Linked DNA regions of Tamandua tetradactyla. The protein of the gene in region 2 interacts with the protein of the main gene of each other region in a pairwise test. Links are inferred from orthologs where the notes say so. Each region holds a gene or a part of one and is shown on either strand. Other genes may lie near its edges.

Evidence for each region.
Region 1: the proteins of SPTAN1 (region 2) and EVL interact in binary tests that used the Homo sapiens proteins (3 or more experiments, as listed by UniProt). The link is inferred for Tamandua tetradactyla from reciprocal best matches to the Homo sapiens genes SPTAN1 and EVL.

The regions. Positions count from the first base shown.
Region 1 is NC_135338.1:61,272,504-61,279,894, reverse strand, and holds the start of EVL (ena/VASP-like protein), read right to left. Parts: upstream 3,030-7,391; 5' UTR 1-3,029. UniProt on the Homo sapiens protein: Ena/VASP proteins are actin-associated proteins involved in a range of processes dependent on cytoskeleton remodeling and cell polarity such as axon guidance and lamellipodial and filopodial dynamics in migrating cells.
Region 2 is NC_135328.1:51,382,910-51,390,727, forward strand, and holds the start of SPTAN1 (spectrin alpha chain, non-erythrocytic 1), read left to right. Parts: upstream 1-4,812; 5' UTR 4,813-4,945; intron 4,946-7,818. UniProt on the Homo sapiens protein: Fodrin, which seems to be involved in secretion, interacts with calmodulin in a calcium-dependent manner and is thus candidate for the calcium-dependent movement of the cytoskeleton at the membrane.

The DNA of each region.
Region 1 (7,391 bases), on a different chromosome or scaffold from region 2:
GTGCAGGAAAAAAAGAGGTGGGGTTTCCACACACTCCCAATATCCTGAAGTAAAAGGTTTTCTGCAGACATGGGCCTGCAGCCTCCAGCTCTGCCAGCTGCTGACAAGCGGCAGTTAACAGGGAGGCAGCGAGAAAACCATGTGATCATTCCAGCAAGTCTGATTAATGCAGTGTGTGCTAAGGCTCCAGGCTGGGAGCTGGATTAGTCTAGTGAAATAAGTTGGACCTGGGGCATGCCTGGGACCATGGGTAATCATGAAACACCACCACTCCCTCACTATTACCCCCAGAATTTTACAGGAGAGTGGGAAAAGCTTAAAGGAATGAGAAAGCAACCTGTTCCATTATGAACTACCTAATTACCTCATCCTCCCATGGCTGTGGCTGCTCTAATGACCAAGCATAACCAGAATTATAAGTGAATACAGCAAATAATGATACACAGGCTATCTTTTACCCAAAGTCAGTTCACTGAAAAATTCTCCTAAATTTTGTGCTTTACCATTCCATTACCAAGCTTCATTTTCACACAAATGCATAAGACGCAACAGAATCTCAACAATCACACTTTGTGCTCATCTTCACCCCAATCAAATTACCTTGCATGTCACCATGTTAGTGTCCCCATCTATTTGATTATTCATTTATTGAGTGTCTAATATATACTAGGTTCTCATCAATTCCTTGACGTACAACTACTATAATAATTTCAGAACAGAACAGAAATTAAGAAACAAGAAATGAGACGCAAGCCAAAAGAAGAGAGAAATGTTTACCAGTTTGTAAAGCCCAAGCTGGCAAGATTTGCCAAATGAGCTGAGGCTGTATTCTGAAACTTGCCATTAAGGAGAATCTTCAGCCTTTGCATTGCAAATCTTGAAAAAAGAAGGGAGACAAATCCCAAATAAAAACCCATGAGTCATTCTTAACTTTTTCTGTTCTTTCCCTCACACCACAAATGTAATCAGTCACTGATTCTGATTCTCCTTAGGATGACTTCTTTGACTCTGGCCCTTTTCCCCCATCCCCATGCCCATGGCTTTCATCATCTCTCAGTCAGTCTTGTTACTAGTCGTCTTCTTCTGTCCCTTCTCTAAAAATCTGTAGAGCAACCTTTCTAAATCTGATTGATGCCCCTTTTCCCACTTTAAAACTGCTTTAGTTCCTTGGTGCCCACAAGATGAGTAAAAACTCCTTGGCCTGGCCTGCACAATCTTATTGCTCCAATTTTCTTTCATCAAAACACTTCTAAAACCTCAAAATTCAGCCAGACATTCCAGTTCCCAAAATATGCCTAGATCTTCCTTCTGGGGTCCATGGGCCAACCAGACCATATTATTCATTGCTCCCTAATCCTGACCTGCACCCTCTGTGCTGCCTATGCTGTCCCTCGGCTGCTGGCTGCCTCCCCAGGACCCTGAGCTGTCCCTAGGACAGTTGGTGGTCCCCTCTGTGCTGCTAACTGCATACCAAGCTGGCATTTTGTCCTCCCCCCTTACTCCCTTGGAAACCTGTGAGTTCATCAAGGGCTGGGATTGTGTGAGGTTAATTTTGTATTCCTCATGCCTTGAACATATCTTACCAGAACAGTTATTCAGTAATGGTCTGTAGAGTGAACCTCCATGTGCCTCAGTTTTCTATTAGGGAGACAGGCAATCTAGTACCTGTGTTCACACGAAGGTGCCCAGAGGCGGCCTTCTGTCTATAGTTTGTTCCATCTCAAAGAAATGAAGCGATAATGACAAGCTGAGGCAGGCCAACTAGTGAGGACACTATTCTGGGGACTCCTGTGGTCCCTCAAACCAAACAGTTATGATGTACTAAGCTGGTACAGGAATGCCTTCCACAATGTTCCTGACAAGCCTCCACCTGGGCCCTCTCCGCTGAGAGCTTCTGGCAGAATCATGGTTATCACAGAAAACAGGGGATTCAGTCATTAAAGAACTCAGTGTTAAGTCCCAATTCTGCCATATACTAGCTTTGCGATTGCTAGCAAGCTACTTAAGTTCTCTGAGTCTTGGAGTCTCCAGGTCTAAATATAGAATAACAGTAACACTGCCCAGGCCTCTCTCAGAGATTGCTGTCAGGACCCCATAATGGAGCTGTAAAATCCTTTATCAAGTGTATAAAGACACGTCATCATTCATCATCTTTATCATCTCACAAGATGGCCTCTCCCTGGACAGCGTGGACTGCTGGAAGGCTCATCTTTATGATGAGGGATACCTCCTAATTGAAGCATTTTGTCTGTTCACTAGCAGTTTATTTATTTGGACACATATGTATTATGTATAAAACCACTGTCCTAAATTCTAGGTTAAAAAAATAAATAAAACAACAGTTTTGAGATTACCCAAGTCCTAGGAAGAGCAATCACCCAGACCAAATACAATTATATGACTACCTGGATCTACTCAGGTGGGATGGAGAAAGGAGCAGCTGGTAGTCAGCCAGAAGCAAACTTCTTGGGGGAACTTACCAGAGCATCTTTTTACTGAGCCTTCACAACCTTGAGGGCAGAGCTAGCAAACCATAGATACACAAATAACTTTTGATAGATTTGTTAGTTTGAGGAAGTCTACATTCTCGGCTCTCTTTGCAAAGTACAAGAGGAAGAGTAGTAGTCTGAATTTCTAGGCATCTGGCACAGTGCTAACTGGTCTAATTTGCTTTAGCATTGCTAAAACCCACAAGGTAGGTCCAGTGTAACAGAAGGTCTAATGGGATGGACAATCTCTAGACAGTGCCTGTTTTCCACCAGTGATTCAAACCTCCTGTTGGAGAGCTGGTTATATCTTGTATGAAAATTCATAAGGTCCTAGTAGAGAGACGAGTGGATAGAAATGGTGAAAAATCTCCAAATCCCAGCACAAAATGCACTTTAGACGTAATTTTATGAGATTTCTTTCCTAATAAAGAAACCAAGGACAAGTATCTAATAAGTTGCCCTGGGTCTTAGAGCTTTTAAATGGCAGAGCAATAACTTGGGATTCAGGTTGGTTTGACTCCACCATTATTTATTTATTTTTAACTTTTTTTTATTGTATAGTATAACATATATACAAAGCAAAGAAATAAAAAAGCAATAGTTTTCAAAGCATTCTTCAACAAGTGGTTACAGGACAGATCCCAGAGTCTGTCATGGGCTACCATACGATCCTCTCAGATTTTTCCTTCTAGCTACTCCAGAATATAGGTGACTCCACCACTTTTAACCCTTATGCCCCACTGGGGTTTTGGGACCTGCATCTATGAGTCCTTCTGGTTTATTTTATCCACCTGGCCCTGGCCAAAGTGTCAAGAACAGGGGCATAAAGGAGGTTCCATGACTGTTCTACACCTTTCCAGCCCAGGACTTGAAAAAGCACTTGTGTGACCACACAATGATTAAACAACAAAAAGAGTCACTCTAAGTCATCTAGCAATGACTAAAGACTTAGACAAAGTTGTTATTACTCCGGGGCTCAATTTCCCTTTCTACCCCGAAGGAACAGCCAGATATTCAGAATTTTGGTTTTTGTCTTTGCTTTCTTTTTGAAATAACACTTAATATGAACCCTAAAATACAAAACTGATAAAAGCAGAAGAGTTCTGGTTGAGAAGGGATGGAGGGACCCCCAGTGTTCCTGCTGCTACGCTTTACTTTCTCTTCAGTAGGGACAGACATAGACACAGTCTGAAAACACCCCGTGAAATGACTCCAGCAGTCCCTGCCAGTGCCAGGACTGTGTGGGACACTCTGAGCTATACACATTCCCCACTGTGTGCACAGATGTGAGACAGGAGAAAAAAGTGAAAATCAGTTCCTATGGTGACTAAAATACTATTCTTTTCTCATGGCCCAACCAAGGATTTTTCAGATAAGCAGGGGCCTACGTGGTAACAAGAGCTTCTCTATAGTCTCCTCAATGGCCCAGCTTCTATCCCCTTACTTCTCATTTCTTCCACCCTCTAAATAAGAGCCTCCTCATCTCTGCCTGGTCCCCCTGCCAGGCTCACCTCTTCCTGTACAGTCTTCTATGCACAGTCTCCTACTCTGGCAAACTTCCATTAAACCCACACCTCTTTTCATGGTCCGCAGAATAGAGTCTTGGTTCCTCTGTGAGGTGGCCCATTATGCCCTCAACCCACCTCCCATGCATGTCTCCTCATGGACCCCTGGCTGGTCCCAGCCCACCTCCACTCCTGGCTCACCTTTTCTTGAAAACCTGCTTTATGCCTTCTCTCACAAGTGGGTATGGAAAGGTGTGGTGCTGAGTCTAGTTTTATTCATGTTCCCTGAGAAGGCAGGGGCAAGTTTTCCCCAGTCTCAGCCTCTTAAGATGGGAGAAGGTAGCACCTGCTCTGTGGGAATGCTGCAGAAATGAAATACCTGGCCCCTGTGAGCCACAATCAACAATATTATGGCAAATGCTTCAAAACCCTAGTATGCACCCCTCCTGACTCAAACCAGCCCCTAGTGAGCACTAAATCTCCAAAATTCCCATTGATAATCAATATCCATTTTAAAATCTTACATCCTGTCCTGTTCTGAGTAACCTTTGCCCACTTTCCTGTCTCAGATCTCTAACGAGACGCACACGTGTCACTGAGGACAGGGACTAGTGGGGTTGGCATGGGGGAGACATGAAGAGCTCAGTTTCCCATAATCTCCACTAGACACTAGTCCTCACTCCCAGAAATGCACAGACCCCTCCGAGGAAAAACAGCATGCTAAGGGCAGCTTCAAGCTAAATTCATGATGCTTTGGGCCAGTATCCCCCAATTCTGGACAGCATTCAGGCACTGTGCCGGTTTGGCACTATCATGTACCCCAGAAAAGCCATGTTCTTTAATCCTCATTCAATGTTGCTGGGTGAGATCTTTTTAATTGTTACCATGGAGTTGTGACCCACCCAACTGTGGGTAGTAACTTTTGATTAGATGGTTTCCATGGAGATGTGTCACCACCCATTCAAAGTGGGGTTGCTTACTGGAGCCCTTTAAGAGGGAACCATTTTGGACAAAGCTTTACTGCCAGCAGAGCCCACACAGCCAGAGATCTTTGGAGATGAAAAAGGAAAACACCCCCAGAAAAGTCTTATGAAACGAAGAGAGAAAGCTAGATGTTGCCATGTGTCTTTCCGGCTGAGAGGTGTCCAGAAGCCAGAGACCCTGGCAGACACCAGCCACATGTCCTCCCAGTTTCAGAGGTATTCCGGATGGTATCAGCCTTTCTTAAGTGATGGTAACCTCTTGTGGGAGCCTTAGTTTGGACATTTCTATGACTTTAGAACCATAAACTTGCAACTTAGTAAATTCCTCTTTTAAAAGCCATTCTGTTTCTGGCATACTGCATTCTGGCAGCTTAGGGAACTAAAACAGGCACTGACCAAGGTTTACAGTCCTTTCTAAGCCTTCACAAGGCACAGGACAAGTTAAGCAGCTGATAGGCTTTGGATTTACTGAATGCCTTTTTATTCTTGTTGAATTAACCTTTCCAAAAATTAAAAACAAAACTAAATTAAACCTGCTGAATTGATAGGAAATCTTAAATGTGATAGGAAATCTTAAATGTGAGTTCTATACTTTGGACTAAGTCTTACCCCCAAATTTCATCATTCAACTGAACTTCTTTAGTATATTTAATTTTAAAATAGAAGTCTTAAATAAAACCATCCTTCACCTCAATTTTAAGTGAAATACTACCATAAAATACATATGTTTTTCCATCAACCAATACTCAAAAGTAGGACTTTACTGGTAATTACTTCTGAATTCAAGTCTATATTCATCTTTCTCATCATATAAGCACACTCTAAATATCTGTGCTAGGTTACTGAAAATTAACCTTTCAATCCTTCCACAAAACTTGAAGGGTTGCTATGTGCTAGAAACTTAACTATTCTAGCTTCTGTGAAGAGAGGAGTAATGAAGTCAAAGCCCCCAGTTTCATGGTGATTACATTCTAATGAACCTAATAAATAAGGAAAAGGATACAAAATAGGGCAATGTAGGAGAGAGTAATCTGGGGGCTACTAAATTTGGAAACGGTGACAGGGAAGGCCCTTCTGAGGTAGCGGCATTTCAGCTGAGATTTGGATAACAAGAAGCAGTCATTCATGCAAATATGAAGGAAGAGCATTACATGCAGAGCAAAGAAGCTGTACAAGGGGCCAAGAAGGATGAAGATAAGAGGTAAGTAGGGCTTTATCAGCCAGGGAACCCACTGGGCAGTTGTAAAAGGAAAATGTAAACAGGGAGACCAGTTAGAAGCCATTGCAGTAGTCTAGATAAGAGAAGATGGGTTTGGACTCAGGTGACAGTAGTAAACAAGTGAGAAGTTGATGATTTTAGGCACATTTTGGAGCAAGTCTCTCTCACAATTCAATTGTTCTGTGTGAGGTTCTTAGATCACTAATGAAACACAGCAAAGATGCAAAATCTTGCAACAGAAATACAAAGAACTCCACCAGGACCATAAGCTCCAGGAAGTGACAACTCTATGAAAGGAAGGATCTTACCTCCTCTTTACTCTTCTACCTATGGCTCTGGCATGCAGAATTATTCAAAACATATCAAGGTTTGTGGATTCTGAGAGATTTCATAAGAAAGTGCACATGGATTAAGTGAGCAGTCCTCTTTCTGGGGCAAGTGTCAAACAAATGGGCAGACTATCCTGCTGAATGAAAATATGCAGCTGCTCCAATGTCACCCTGATATTCAGAAATTTGCCAAGAAAGTCGTTTCAGGAATGGAGAGAAAATCAAGAAGACAAAAGCATGGAACGCTTTTATCCAGTCAAGGAATATTTACTGGGCACCTGCTATGTGTCTAGCACTGCTACATCCCTGGGAGGAGAGGGAGGTCAAAGAATAGTCCGGTACATTTAAGGCCTTTTAAAGAGTCAGGGACAGGGCATATATACCTAAAAACTTAAAATGATAATCTACAATGGTAAATCAATATGCAGGGTGTCTAAAATGTTATATTACCTGTTATGTTCATTTTTTTCCCCACTTCAACTGGCTGTTCTTCTTCTAAAGGTCTTCTTGAATCCTGGTTCTGCCATGCAGTTGGTGAGTGGCCAGAACACTGAGTTAGGGACTGAATATCTGGGCTCCTCCCTACCAGGTGAGTCAATTTATCTCTTGGAGTCCGTTTGTTCACCTATCAAATGTGGATGATAATTCCTGACCTATCCCCTCACAAATAAATCATGAGGATCAAATACAATAATAGCTATTGTTATTTTTCACAAAGAAGAAAGAAAAAAGGTGATTGAGGTGATAAAAAAATATTTAAGTCTTCTAGCCTCCTGTATTCTGGAGTAGCTAAAAGGAAAATTCTGAAAGATCACTATGGTGCCCAGTGACAAACTCTGGGATCTGTTCTGTACCTACTTGTTGAA
Region 2 (7,818 bases):
AAACAGTGTCAATGGCTGAGAGATTCCAAACAGAGTCCAGAGGTTATCCTGGCGGTTATTCTTATGCATTAAGTAGATATCACCGTTTTAGTTAAGGTGTAACAGGCTGGAGGAACTGCCTGAAATGTAGAGCTGTGTTCCAGTAGCCATGTTTCTTGAAGATGATTGTATAATGATAAATCTTCCACAATGTAACTGTGTGATTGTGAAAACCTTGTGTCTGATGCTCCTTTTATCTACCTTATGGACAGATGAGTAAAACATACGGATTAAAAATCAATAATAGGGGGAACAAATGTTAATATAAATTTAGTAGATTGAAATGCTAGTGATCAATGAAAGAGAAGGGTAAGGGGTATGGAATGCATGATTTTTTTCTCTTTTTATTTCTTTTCTGAATTGATGCAAATGTTCTAAGAAATGATCACGATGATGAATATACAACTATGTGATGGAAAAAAAGAATGTTCATGTTGTATGTTGATTGGTTTTATTAATAAAAATTTTTTTAAAAAGACTACTCCAAAAAAAAAAAAATTAAAACTAATGGTGTCAAATAAGAAAAAAAATAAAAAGAACAACAGCAAAAAAAAGCTAATAGTGCCTAAGAGATCTGTGGAACACCATCAAGTGTACCAATATACTCATTATGGGAGTCCCAGAAGGAGAAGAAAGAGAGAAAGAAGTGGAATGAATACTCAAAGGAAAAAAAAATGTTAATATATAAAATTTTATGATATAAATATATATTTGTCACCGCACTAAAAAAAACAAAACTAAATCAGGTGATATAATAAATGGAATAAGAATGAAAGTTGATAATTGTTGAAGCCAGGTGATAATCATATGGAAGTTTACTATATCTATCTTTGAAATAGTCTAATAAAAAGTTTAGAGAGTAAAGAAAATAAAAACTCTGTCTTCTAGAATTTTTTAGTGCTTTAATTGTGCTCCTTCGAGTTATTAACCTCCAAGAGTTTGCATTGTGTACCAAACTGACAGTGGGACTTCTATTTCCAGAGCTTCTCTTGGGATTAGTGTTTCTGGGAATACACTTTTTGAAATGCTTTGCTTGTAGGTTGGGATAATCAAGAAGGTATCTTGTGGATAGTATTTGATCCAGATACTTGAAATTTTAAAAAAGATAATAAGACCGGGTTCGATTCCCAGAGCCTGCACATGCCAAAAAGAAGAGAGTAAGAAAGTCCCACAAATATTTTCAATTTTAGTTACCCATTTTGAAAGTTATTTTAGTCATGTCTATGCACAGATACACAGATATATGAATATAGTTCTTAAGTAAATGGACTCAGTACCCATATTGTTCTGTAACTTGCTATCATTCAGTAATATCTATTTTTTCATGTCAACCTATATGAGTTTACATAACCATTACAGTCTGTTGAATTTATGAATCATAATTAGCCAGTTTTCAATCGATGACTAGGTTGTTTCTAATTTCTTATAATTATTACATTCTTCAGTCTTGTCCTACTTCCTTAGGATAAATTCCTAAATGTAACATTGCTGGGTCAAATGGTATGTAGAGTTTATATTTTGATCCATTTTGCCAAGCTGTTCTTCCAGAAAAGTTCTGACTACACATATTCAAAATGGCTAAGATTTGCCAGGCAGAAATGAGAGGTGGGTGTCAGGGAAGAAGGACATTCTAATTAGTGGAAAAAGTAAAAGCAAAACCATGAAGTTGGAAAATACACGATGTGTTTAGGAAGTGGCTAAACTCAGGGTTAGTGGAGAAAACAATGAGATACGATGCCGGGAAGATAAGTTGGAACAAGATTGTGGAGGCTCTGGACTCTAAATAGTTTGGGCTCTCCTATAGGCAATGGAAAGCTATTAAAGGTTTAGAGAAGGTTTGATGTAGTTTATGCAACTAGTTCTAATAGTGTGTTCAAGATGAATGTGAGGGAAGGAGACTGGGCCTAACAGGCAGTCCCACAAGAATACAGATGTGAAATGACCCTGATTAGGACAATGAAGGTAGGGAGGGAGAGGAGTTCACTTCTTTGCCATTACATGGAGGTCCTCTTAAGCAAGCCAGCCTGGCAACACCACGCTCCAAGGTATTGGGATTCTTCTTCCATCAGCCTCTGCTCTAATGCCCCCTCTTTCAGAAGCAGTAACTGCGTTTGAAGATCTGTGCTATTCCTTGTTGGCTCTGATACTGCAGAATGTCACCAGGGAAAAAGTACAGTCCGCTTGCCAGCCCATGACTCTTCCCAATCAGCTCCCTTGAAGAGAGGGTAAATAGTGGAAGTGCTTGCCTGTCAGCTTTGCTGTGTGTGTGTGTGTGTGTTCCCTCCCAGGGAGTGGCAACTGACTTTACATGGCTGCAACTCATTACAATTAGTGTATTTCCCAGTGTTTGTCCATTCTGAACAACTTAAATAGATACTGGGATACAGAGATGCTTAAGCTTAAAAGGTGCATGTCAAACCTTCCGAAGACTGCTGTAGATATAAAGGAACTTAAAATTCAGTCTTGTGGCTGCTATTCCAGCAACCAAGAGAGATGTGATTGAGAATGTGGAATTGATTGTTTACAGAGCTGCTGTACCAATGTGTGTTTCCTATGTGTGTGTGTTTCTGAATGAGTCTCAGAAAACGAAGAGGGTCGTTATCTGCTTTATCCTTTCCCTCTCTGCACACCTAAGCAGAGTGTTAGGCTTTCAGTGAAATAGGTAGGAGGTGAGGTAGGCAGACAATAGAATTACGTGAAGAAAGAATGCTTTTTAAATGTTTTATTTCCAGCATCAAATGCAGAATAGAGTGGATGAGCGAGTAGGAGGTAGGGAGGACCGGGAATACTGTTTCTTGGTCATGTTTCAGATCAGACAAAAGATCAACAAACAAGATTTTAGGTTTTGTATTCATTCAGGAGCCCTTAATCTCCAATCTGTTTTACATTTGGCAAAAGCAGCAAAACACTCATTTCACTGAGGCCAGGACGATTTAAAAGAAAAATTCTCTCTCTTTATAGCTCCTACCCGCAGCCTTCAGATCCTATTCCTTGCTGGAGCAGAGTGGTCTTGGCAATTTTAGAATAAAAAACATTTTGTGTTAGCCATTTTGTACCCATGTTTGATGAAACATTTTGCTGCTACTTACTAGAGAGGAGGCTTGACGCCATCAGCTGTTTGCAGAAATGCACACACTCTAGGGAGGAGTTACCAGGCTTTGTTTTCTCTACATAGAAGATTGCAGGAAATGCCTCTCAGCTCCTACATGTTTCCTTCACATTTCTGGGGTGTGACCACTCCTTTTCTTTTTCCACCACTCTGGTGGAGTGAGGGACTGGGGGAATTTTTCCTCACTATCATGGCTATAACCAAGGCAGCTTAGAAACTAGATTGCAGATTCCTGGCACAGAGAAAGAAGACAAACTGAAGGGGACCAGGAAGCTCAGGGCTGGGCCTGGCCCAGGTTCTGGTGCAGTGCCCAGTGCCTTTATATTTATTTAAAGAGGAGGGCTGCTTGGTAACCAGGAGGCTGAGACCTTCATGAGCTGCTTTCATGAGTTTCTAGTCTGCCTGGCTGCACAGGAATGACCTGAGTGTTGCACAGGAATGACCTGAGTGTTGCTCTCAATGCCGTGACCCAGCTGTCACCAGAATGGGGATGAGAAAGGTTTCTGGTTTAGAACCAGGCCCTTAAACTGCTAGGAGGTATCTTATTTTTCCCTTCTAAGCAGCCCAGCATTCATCTGCACCACAATGCCTCCCTTTCCTGTGGAAAGACAGTATAGCACACTGTTTGAGAGAAGATTCTGACCACTTGGATTCAAATCTAGATAGTTTTTCTGCTTGCTAGCTTTGTGACGTTGGGCAAGAGGCCTCTGTCAGGGTGCTCATTTGTAAAATGCGGGAAATACTATCTACTTCATACATTCATTGCAAAAATAATTTTTTTAAGGTAATATACATGAAGTGCTTAGCAGACTGCCTAGTACATGAGGATAGTTGAGTTCATTGTGGCAGAGAAAACAATGTGTTGTTTATAAAATAAGATTAATACATCCTATTCTATTGGCAACTGAGACCGTGAGAATGCTTTTGTTGTAAAAACATAAGAAATTAACTCCCCAGATTTCAGAACGACAGATTTACATTCCAGTAAATAAACCGATTTTATTTTTTTATGATGTAGATCTGACCTTTTCTCGTTACCACCCTCTCAAACTGGGCCCAGTATCATTGTCGGTTTTTTTGACCCTTGTCCCCATCAGAGCATGGCTGCGGGGAGAGCAGACTGGGCTCACCAGCAGCAGCCTCCTCCTACCGAAAGTGGGCAGGAAAAAGAAAGCTTACTGGTGACCTCACCCTTTGGGACTAGGCGTTTTTCCGGCGCGGCGCAGCATCCCCAACCAGACTGCAACCATGGCCCCTGCCCCGCCCTTCGCCGCAGTCCTGGAAGGGCTCCCAGGGGCGGAGGGGTGGGGTGCAGAAGATCTCTGCAGGGAACGGAGGGGCAGGATTAGAGGACCTAAACTCCACGGATTGGGGTGCAACTGAAGCATCTCGGTCCCATGGGCGAAGGGCACTGACGCCGGTGCACCACCAACCCCCACTCCTTGCGCGCGCCCAGTTTCCCCACCGATCTGCTTCCCTCCCCACCCTCGCCTCTTCCTCTGCCTCGCCTCTTCGGCTCCTTCCGGGAGCGTTCGGCTCTTTCCGCCAGGCGGTGGCGAGGCGAAGCCGCAGGAACTCCGCCCCCTTTGCTCCGCAACAGCTCTCCCCCGCCCCTTGAATAGCGTTAGGGCGCTTCCCCCGCGCTCGCGCCCGCCGGCTGCCAGAACGCGCTTGGCCGTCTATAAAAGAGGCAGGGCGCGCGCGTCGCCGCCACTATCCGCTGCGGAGCGAACGGCGAGGATCGGAGGCTGAGGTGGCGGGTCGGTCCCTCAGCACCCTCTCATCCCCCAGGAGCGGGTGAGAGGGAGTGCGGGGTAGCTCGGGGTGGGAGCAGGGCCCGAAGGCAGGAGACCTGAGGTCCGAGAGCCGGGCCACCGGGAAGCGGCGAACAGGGAAGCCCCTAGGGCGGGGCGGGGCCAGCGCGCGGACAGGTGAGCCGAGCCCGCCTCACTGCTCCCTTCGGTCTCCAGGAGCCGGCCGAGCCGGCCGCGACCGGCTTTGTGGCGCGTGGGTTGCGGATAGGCAGCCTGGCAGAGCTCCGGCGCCGGCGGCTGGAATGTCATTTACTGGGGGGAGGGGGGAAGTGCCGTCGGGTTCTTCTCAGCACCCTCCTCTCAGTCCCAGCCGGGTTGCGGCCCCGCCCTGTTCCACCCGGCTGCGGCAGGTGGGGTGGGGGCCCTCGTCGGGATCTTTACCATCCCCGTTTTTGAAGAGTGCCCCCATCAACAGCCCCAATCCTTTCCCTCTGTGGGAGCGACTCCTGCAGCTCATTTTCCCAAATCACCGCAAGATTGAGGTTCAGCAGCAGTGCCTGCCCGACCCCTGAAGGAGGAAGGGCCCAAAAAGCATAAGGATCTCTTGGAACTTCATTTCATTCTGTATGGCGATTCTTGACTCACTCTAGGCGCGGAAAGGTCCGAGACTAGCCGTCTCGTTTTCTTCCTTGTAATAAACATTTCTTTCCTCCTCAGTTGTGCTCTCCTTGTAAACAATAGGTAGATGCAGTGCTTGCTTTGTAGAAGACCCAAATCGAATAATTTAATGTCTTAGGGTCTTTTTTCTCCCGAAGGCCGGGTCTTTCGGTCGAGAGCAGTATGTTACTAGACAGAATTTTTACAATCATGCTAATGTTGAATAATTGGGCAGTCTTTTGTTTGAAAGCCGTGTCTCAGAATTTGGTGCTTTCCAGTGAAATTTGCTTTTCAAGATCTCTTTACTGTATTGGGATAAAAGAGATTTGTTAAAGTTAAGGGTTGAGATGTTTCAAAGGAAAGCCTGAGTAGCCCATGGAATTGGGCTGAGATGATGCTTGAACTGCTGTAACACCTTGTCAAATGTCTTTTATGTAATAGATCCTAAAATATTTAAGGCCCTTTATTCTGTCTTCATCATGGTGTTTTAGAAAAACGTAGAATCATGGCTGTGAGGGGAGAATAGAAAAGAGACCATATGAAGTATTTTCATAATGTGTTGAGAAATTGCGTCGTCATAGCAATTGGACTTAAGTGAAGCAGAATGTATCAAAGATGGAAGGGTGGGGGTGTCCTGCACAGCCAAGGCCCAGCAACAATCCCAAGAATAGCAGTGGGAACACTAGCTGTATGAAGCCATTGAGCCAAGGTTCCAACTTAAACTAGAAAATTTACCTTTCGTTGTAGCTAATGTCTTAGATTTTGAAAGGTCAAAATGAAGTCAAAGTTATTAAAAAAAAAAGTGCTGCAGGAAAAAAATATGCTCTGCAGTAAGTGCCTCTGTGCAGGAAATTAACAATCCCTTTTTAGTAACTGGGCCAATAATTACTCAAAGGGACCCTCAAAGTGTGTTAGCAGTTATCTAGGGACCTAAAATGGAAAGATTCAAAAGGAGGATTTACTCGATAGTGGACAGGTGTGAAGCGTTTCTTTTTTTTTTTTTTTTAAAGGAAGGAAAGAAAGACAGAGAAGGAAGGAAGGATGGGAGGAAGAAAGGGAAACATCTTTATTTTTATTATATTTTGTTTGTTTGTTTGTTTTTCACATGGGCTGGGGCCGGGAATCGAACCGGGGTCCTCCGGCATGGCAGGCAAGCACTCTTGCCCGCTGAGCCACCGCGGCCCGCCCTGAAGCGTTTCTTGTTGGTAAACTATCAGTTTAGTAACTAATTCTGATATGCTTTTTTCTTGGTGCAGTGTGTTTTGTAGTAATCTAGTATTTGGAGAAATATGGTATGTCACAGGCTCTAATGTGAGCCTGTGAAGCAATCCGATGAATAAATTTAGGTGTGGAAGAGCTGTTTTAAGTATATCGTTTGGTTTCCTGGGTCAGAATTTTCCCTACTTTTCCTACCCACCTTCATCCCAAAGGGAGGGGCCAGTTGCAGATCATGAGAAATGGAGCTCTGGAATATTCCACCACAGTCCTGTCATTGCTGAACCTACACTAAGGACAGGGGGCCTGAAGCCGGCCTGCCTGTGTAATCAATCCTCAGTGGACTGTGCGAGGACTTCACTAATTATGCACGCCTGCCTGCTTCAGCTTTTCAGCTGTGGTTGTCTGAGTCCAGGAGAAGAATGCAACACCCTGATTGCAAATGCTGACTCTAGGAATGCAGAGAAAGAAGGCATAGTTGATCACTTGGAACCAGTTGACTGGAGCAGCTGTGCATTTGAACCATCATCCCCCTTCCACCTTTTTTGCGTATTCTCTTATACCATGTTTGAGCAGGAAGTAGTATTTGCTGGAAATTTACCTGCAAACTTGGCCCAAGTCAGATGTTTTTAGCTTGAGTTCATTCTTGTTTCTGATAATTTCATGAAAGCATGCTATTTTATTTGTGAATGAGAGGGAGTTTAGGAATCATCTAGTCCTGAGATTCTCAATGAACTTGGAGTGTGGGTCGTGGGGGGAGGCATGTTTTGTTTTAAAGAGTATTGTAAATTTATTGGATGAGTGGGTAAACAGGCTGAAAAGGAGCCGTGACTTGGTTGAGGCAGCACACAGAGATACTAACAGTTAAAGATCAGAGAACCTTGGTTCTCTTTCCACATTTTAAATCCCTGGTGAGATAGAGATAGAAACTGTATAGAATGTCAAAGGAGATAGGAAAATATCTGAAAATTGATTTTTATCTGTATTCATGTATTTTTAAAGGTCTGTTTTCTTCATTTTGAAATTTTGTTCAGTTTGCCCATA